Mus musculus: one gene and its partner. The protein of the gene in region 1 purifies or fractionates together with the protein of each later gene. This does not show direct contact. Links are inferred from orthologs where the notes say so. Each region holds a gene or a part of one and is shown on either strand. Other genes may lie near its edges.

Evidence for each region. The genes of interacting proteins can lie anywhere in the genome.
Region 2: the proteins of Atf2 (region 1) and Atf1 purify together in Homo sapiens (affinity purification with mass spectrometry; 3 studies listed by BioGRID and IntAct, with this or other methods). This does not show direct contact. The link is inferred for Mus musculus from reciprocal best matches to the Homo sapiens genes ATF2 and ATF1.

Annotation. Positions count from the first base shown.
Region 1 is NC_000068.7:73,889,918-73,893,664, forward strand, and holds the start of Atf2 (cyclic AMP-dependent transcription factor ATF-2), read right to left. Parts: upstream 2,723-3,747; 5' UTR 2,558-2,722; exon of another isoform or gene 2,491-2,557; intron 2,443-2,490; exon of another isoform or gene 2,047-2,442; intron 1-2,046. UniProt on the Homo sapiens protein: Transcriptional activator which regulates the transcription of various genes, including those involved in anti-apoptosis, cell growth, and DNA damage response.
Region 2 is NC_000081.6:100,226,988-100,230,710, forward strand, and holds the start of Atf1 (cyclic AMP-dependent transcription factor ATF-1), read left to right. Parts: upstream 1-871; 5' UTR 872-1,095; intron 1,096-1,239; exon of another isoform or gene 1,240-1,618; intron 1,619-1,880; exon of another isoform or gene 1,881-2,343; intron 2,344-3,723.

The DNA.
Region 1 (3,747 bases):
TTTAGTCCCAGTGGTCAGGAGGTAGAGGTAGGCAGGATCTCTGTGAGGTGGAGGCCAGCCTGGTCTACAAACAAGTTCCAGGATAGCCAACTACAGAGATAAGCCATGTCTGGAAACAACAAAATAAAAAGAGCTTTCCTAGCACGGTAGAAAAGCAAACAAAGGGCTGGAGAGATGGCTCAGCAGTTAAGAGTACCTGTTGTTCTTGCAGAGCAGCTGGGATAAGTTCCCAGCACCCACATGGTGGCTCATAATAATATGTAACTCTAGTTTTAGAGATTCAGGATTTAAGATGGTCTCTAAGGGCACTGCCCATAAATGGTACACATACATATATGCAAGCAAAACACAAAAATAAATAAATCTTAAAAACAAACATAGAACATGTTCCATTTCAGACAAGATTTCAGTCTATAGAAATAGATGTGAATATAAGATAGTCACAAAATGTTAAAACCATTGACTATATGACAGGTGGTTTTGTAGGCTACAAGTTAATACAGGGAGTACTATATGTATTAATTTCATACAGGTCAGTTGAATCATCCAATCACTTTCATTGAATTATCTAATTACTTTCATTGACTTCTAATCAAGGAGGGTTCCAATACAAATTTTTTTGTTTTGTTTTGTTTTCGAGACAGGGTTTCTCTGGGTAGCCCTGGCTGTCCTAGAACTCACTCTGTAGACCAGGCTAGCCTTGAACTCAGAAATCCGCCTGCCTCTGCCTGGGATTAAAGGCGTGCGCCACCACGCCCAGCTTCCAATACAAATTTTGCTTTAAATATAAGACTTACTTTTCTAAGGGCATTTCAATAAGAGTAACAAAAGAAAGTGATACCAGTTCACAGAAACACATATCATTTTGGAAGAGACTAAAGTCAAAAATGAGTGGAAACAGCATGTAAGGTAAAGTTATTTACTAGATCTAGCAATATAATTGATTAGGAGAGTACAGATAATAATTAAAACTCAAGTTTTCAAGTTTTCTTAAAAATAAAAAAAAACAAAAACAAACCTAGATTTCTTGACTTAATGTTAGTCATGAAATATTTAATGGATAGTATCATTTCAAAACAATATAGCTTTAAAATTTTAAAATACCCATGAAAACATCTCTAAACATCTCTCCAATTATTTATTAATGATTTTAAGACCTAGAACCTTAATTATCACTCAACTATCGATGGCCTTAAAGATCCATGTACTTAGTTTTCTTGGCTTATATAGGATATGTTTTTAGCATACTCTACAAAATATTTCTATACTTTTGAAAAAAGTTTATTGCAGGGATTCTTCAAATAGGTTTAGCAAATTTAAATACAAGACTCTTATTTCATCTAGAGTTAACTGTTTTAAAATAAGCCTTTATAAAGTCTTACCATTTGGGTGCTAGAGACCCAGGCCATTTGGCGCTAAATGAGTAGTATTCCTGGAACGGTTATTACTTGACAATGGCCAAGGGTTAAGAATTTCTTCAAACAGGACAAACTGAGCTCAGAACAGTCCGTGTTTGGTCAGATGTTAAAAACAGCATTACCTGCATCTGGTGTGAACGTGTCCCTAGTTTATAATCCCCAAGAAACTGTGACTTCCACAAGGTAAACTAGGTATTAGTCGATGGGCCTAGAGTCTATCATGAGTATCCCTTTTACTCAATTATACTGGTGGTAGTTTTACTCGACCTTCCCAGTTTAAGAGTCTCCATTAAAGAAGAGACAATTTTATAATACCTATGTGCATAAAAATAGTTCCCATCTCCTCCAAGGTCTGGTTCAATGAGTGAGCATCCCGGGGAGACATACACACATCTCTCCCTACCTCTCTTCCTTGTCCCTGGGGTAATAAAAGGCACAGATTATTTTCCTACAAAAGCTCTGCAGAACACCGGTCGAAGTAAATGGGGTGTGGGGGGGAATAGCAGAATCAACCTGCACCCACACCTCAGCCCCGCCCCACCTGGAAAGGGGGGGGTGGCGGCGGCGGGAGTGTGAGGGCGGCAGAAAGGACAGAAAAGGCCGAGACCACCAGCAGGTTCTCCATTACCATTGGCTCCATCACGTTCCACCGAGGCCAGAGACCCTTGCTTCCCAATCCTTCAACGCACCATCCCAAACCCTCGATCGCCCGAGTCCCCGGTGGGGAGCCCAGCGTGGGCCCTCTGGGCAGCGCGATCAAGGACTAGCGGCGGGGGTCTCCCCGACAGATGGGCGGATCCGAAGGGCGCCTCGGGGACCTCTCAAGTGACCACACCAGAGGAGAAGTCGGAGGGAGGGGTCGGAGAAGAGCCGTTATTCCTTCTCGCTCAGGCTTGGGAAAGCGCGCGAGGGAGGGGCCGGCCGGAGCCGCAGCGCGTTACCTAACGGTCCGGTCGCTCCGCCAGACCAGAGGCGGCAACGCGGCCACCGCCGTCCGTAGGGTTGGGGTCCACAGCAGGGGCGCAAAAGGGGTGGGAGGCGGGGGGTGGAGACTACAGGCAGCGACGTCGCCATGTTAGCACCTTCTTCCTCTGCATCCCTACAACCTCCAAGCCCGTGGCCCTTCCACCATTACTCACCTTTCCAGGTCACTAATTCATGGTCCTGCCAGCCACCCGCGAGCCCGGAGGCCGGCCGTGTTTACAAACTAGCCCCGGAGGAGAGGGCTGAATCGCACTTTAAAGGCCACGGGCTCCCACAGGCTTCCGTCCTCTCTCGCGAGATCCGACTGACAAACCTTCTCCCCGCCCCACTCCCGGCATCCCTGCCGCTTTCTTCTTGCGCCCCTCCCCTTCACGCACACGCCCCTTCCTGCTTTCCACCGAGGGAGCGCCCGCGGGTCAGGTGACTCCGTCGTGCCTCGGAAAAAGGGCGGGTCTTCAGGAGGGCGGGGGCGGGGAGGCGGGAACCAAAGAACACTCGGACGCGAGTGATTGGGCGAAAAGCACGAAAGGCGGGAAGCAGGTCCAAAGGGGCGTGGCCAAGGTGCCCAAGGACCGTTGTTTCGGTAACCAGGGAACTGCAGAAAGCTGTGATTGGCAGCCGTCGGGAGGCGGGCACGAGAAGCTGCACCGGATCTGGGGCGCGCGCGCAGGTGGCGGAGGAGCGAGCAGGAGGGCGTGGGCGGTGTGAGAGAAGAAAGGTGAGGTCGGGGAGCCTAAAGGAGCCCAGCCCTGGCGCCGGATGTCTCTGTCGTATTGGTTTCTGACTTCGCTAGGGATATGAGACTATGAAGGGAGAAGCGCTTCTGGACCACTCTCCGTGTACCGAGAAGCCAGAGCTGGAGAGAGAGCTACGCTTAAGGTTTTGGAGAGTCGGGGTTTGCCAGTCATCACCTCCGCCCCCATGTGCACACTGAAGCAAAATAAGTCAGCCCTGCGTAGAAAATAGAAACCTTTTCTTAGAGAGTTCTTTGTTCGGATTTTACTAAGCCAGAACTGGAGCCGATCTTCCCCACCACCCTATGTCAAGTATATGGTATATTACATACGAGTATGTTCAAAGGCAGTGATCAAAAGGAAATACACCGTCTTCCACCCCCATGTCACCATATTTTAAAACAAAGCAACGATCTTTTTCCTAGAGAAAAATTCTTGTAATTATGAGTGTTTCTTTTATCAAATTTCCTTTACTTAGTTAGATATAAAAATACAAATTTCAGGGACCGAAGAGATGTCTCAGCGGTTAACAGTACTGGATGCGAGCCGGGCGTGGTGGCTCACGCCTTTAATCCCAGCACTCGGAAGGCAGAGGCAGACGGATTTCTAAG
Region 2 (3,723 bases), on another chromosome or scaffold:
ACTTTCCATAATGTTGAGACTCTGACTTAGTGTTGTACTTTCCATAGTTTTTTAAGACAGGCTTTCTTTGTATAGCCTTGCCGGGCCTGGAACTTTCTATGAAGATAAGAGATAGCACTGTGCCTGCCAACCCAAAGTGCTGGGGTCAGAGGCACAGCTGACCACGCCTGGCAATTTCCATAAATTTGATAGCGACTCCAGAGAGGTTGGGTAACTAGCCTAATCAGTCAAAACCCGAGTACTTCTATTTAAAGGTAGTCATCGGCCTTAGCTTTATTGGGCAATATTTGCTGAATCACGGTGCCTGGAGTCTAATAAGCCCTTCTAAACGCTTCAGTTTTACATCACATCGTATGTTCTGAAGGCTCAAAACCAAAGTCTTCACTCACCCAGTTATTAGGAGGGAAGGTGTCAAATACAACTTCTCAAAACATTTGATAATGCACTTTGTAGAGGGCATGCTAAAAACAAGCAAGCGAGCGAGCAAACCGCTATGATGCCCTAGCAGAACCTTGCCAAGGCTGAGATAAAGGCATCTGTATGAAGGTCAACTCCCCACAAGGACATGCTAAGTCCTTTCCGAAGCACTAAGATGGCAGCGCAAGGTTTTACAGTTACTTAAACAGAGCAGGTAGCCGAGGGTCAGCTGTCCCGCCCGCGAGAGAGGGAGGTCAGGACCCCGCGCCATTGCCCCAAGATCCCCGGAGCTCCCCCAGCGTCCCCGTGGCGGCCCGCGCGCTCCCGAGCTCGCCAAGATGGCGGCGCTCACGTGACCACGCGGTGACGCAGCACGCCGGCGCGCAGGCCACGCCCCTCCCCACGCTCCCGCGCACTCCTCGGCCGCCCCCCCCCCCCCCCCCAGCCCCGGCCCCCGGCCTGTGCGGATCATGCCGCCTGCGACGCCCCTCGCGGCCGGGAAACGGTAGCCGCGACGGTTGGCTCTCGAGTTACGCTCTCCTCCCGCACCCCGCCGACCCCTGGGACGCGCGCCACCTCGCTGCGGTGCGCGGCTGGCAAGTGAGGAGTAAAGTCGGCGCCGCCTGGGACGGGGGAGTGGAGCTTCCTGCCCCGGGCAGCGGCCAGGCGGCCCCGCGGGTGAGTGGGGCGCGGCGGAGCGCGAGGCGGCCCGGGCGGGAAGGCGGCGCCGGCGGGGACGCAATGGCGGCCACGCGCCGGCCGGGGGTCGCGCGCGGCTCGGCGGGCGGTGGGGGAGGGGCGCGGTGGGGGTGGGGCCGGCCGCGCGCTTCCGGTCGCGCGCGTCCCGAGCGCCCGGGCGTTAGGCTCCCCTCGCCTCCGCGGGGCGCGTTGGGAGAGGCGCCCCGGGCCTCCCGCGCTCCTTGGCTCGGCCCGCGCCGCATGGAGGCGGGAAGAAAAGCCGAGCGGCGGCCTCCGGCAGGCTGCAGACGCCGCGGCCTTGGGCTCCCGCCTCCATGACTGGGAAAACCGAGGCAACCCGCCCTGTGGCGGGGCACGGCGTTCCTCTCCTTCCGGGAGTCTCGCCGCTGGCCGCCTAAGTTATGATAGAAACTTAAAAGAGTCTCGGTAGCCGCCTTTTCTTTTTGAGACGGGATTTGTTGCGAAGAGTTCATGGTGCAGGACTTCCAGACGCGGTCGCCGGGTCCGGTTTATTATAGCGTTTTTAGTTTTGCCTGAGACAGGGCTTACCAAACTGGCCTTAAATAAATTTATATATACATACACACACACATACATACATACATACATACATACATAGTCCAGGTTGGCTTCGAACACGGCTTATGTTAGGATTTTTTGTTTGTTTTTTTGTTTTTCTTATATGAGTACACTGTAGCTGTCTTCAGACACTCCAGAAGAGGGAGTCAGATCTCATTACAGATGGTTGTGAGCCACCATGTGGTTGCTGGGAATTGAACTCAGACCTCTGGAAGAGCAGTCAGTGCTCTTAACTGTTGAGCCATTTCTCCAGACCTTCAACATCTTTTTCAAGGAAGGAAGCTAAGACGCCTTTTCCTCACTCACCAGCTGAGAAGTCTCTGTACTTGATATTTATTGATATTTACTGTTCACTCGTGACAGTCTGCTGGTCACTGAGCACACTTTACTGCAGACAGGCACTGCCTTTAGAGAGCTTAAAGCTGGGAGAAACAGGCAGGCTAGTAAACATAGCTGTTAAGTAATTCAGAGATAACGAGCCAGGCAAGACAAATGTATTAAAATAGGACCTGATCCAGGCGTAGTGGCACAAGCCTTTAACCCCAGCTCAGGCGGCAGAGGCTCTAAAGACCAAACCAACCTCCTACCCCTCACCCAGGAAGGAAAGAAAACCACAGGACTTGGTACAGTAAGGAATGGCAGTAAGAGGTATTGCTGGGCCAGGAATGGTGGTGGACACAGCCTAGCTTCTGGGTTTTTGCATCCTAATGTGAGATCTGAAGTAAATACAGTTTCTTTAGGTCTCATCACCACAAAAACAAATCTCTTCTCTTGATATTTCACGTAGAAAGTCGCTTTCTTTGTAGGATTTATTAAAAGCACCTTGCCTTGGGCTAGGGATGTAGCCTGCTCTGTAGAGGACCTGGGTGTGTTGGCAGGTTCTGCTTAATTGAGGCAAGCGGGGATGTCTGGAGAGTCAAGTTCAAGAAAGGTCACCCTCTGCTATGTATCAGGTTTTGAGGCCAATCTGGGCTATAGAAGACCCTGTCCTAGGAGGGCAGTGCCTTGCCTTGTGTGTGACAGCCATCCATAGCCTGCGGACTTCTCCGTTTCCAGCATCTTGTTGGTGATGCATTTGGACTGCATTTCATTGCCTTCCTGATTCTGCCCAACTGTGCATCATATTATGATAGCTGCTACTTGGAACTTAATTGTTTTTATAGAAAATGTACTCAGATAGTGTATTTTGTTTAAAAAGGTGTCATTTTGAAAAGCAGACTTTAGGGCTGGCAAGATGCTCAGTGGGTAAGAGTACTGACTGCTCTTCCAAAGGTCCTGAGTTCAGGTTCTGGTGGCCATATGGTGGCTCACAACCATTCTTGATGACATCTGATGCCCTCATCTGGTGTGTCTGAAGACAGCTACAGTGTACTTAATTTGTAATAATAATTAAAATCTTTAAAAAAAAGAAAAGCAGACTTCAGTCAAGCATGGTAGGACATACCTATGGCCTTTTTCTTAGCACTCAGGAGGCAGAGGCAGCCTGGGCTTTAAAATCCTGTCTAAAAAACAAAACAAAAACCTCAGCCAGATTTAAAATTTTAGGAATGGGGAGACTGGCTGCTCTTCAGAAGAAGACCTGGGTTCAAGTCGCAGCATTCTCATGGCAGCTCACAACTGCCTGTAACTAGCTCCTGGGTAATCCTGTACCCCTACACCCTACACACATGCAGGCAAAACACCCATGCTTATAAAATAAGTTTGTTTGTTTTTAAGTGTATTTGCAGTTGATAATTCAGTAAAACAGAACAGGTACAGTTTGTTGCTTATAGTGAGAAAAAGGTGTTTGTTTGTTTGTTTGTTTGATTGAATTGGGGGGGGGTGGTGTTTGTTTCTGTTTTTTCAAAACGGTTTCTCTGTGTAGCCCTGGCTGGCCTGGAACTCAGAAATCCGACTGCCTCTGCCTCCTGAGTGCTGGGATTAAAGGTGTGTTCCACCACGCCCGGCTAAAAAAGTATTTTATGTGTATGGATGTTTTGCCTTCAAATGTGCCTGTGTGCTATGTGTTCCTCTGGAAGCCAGTAGATC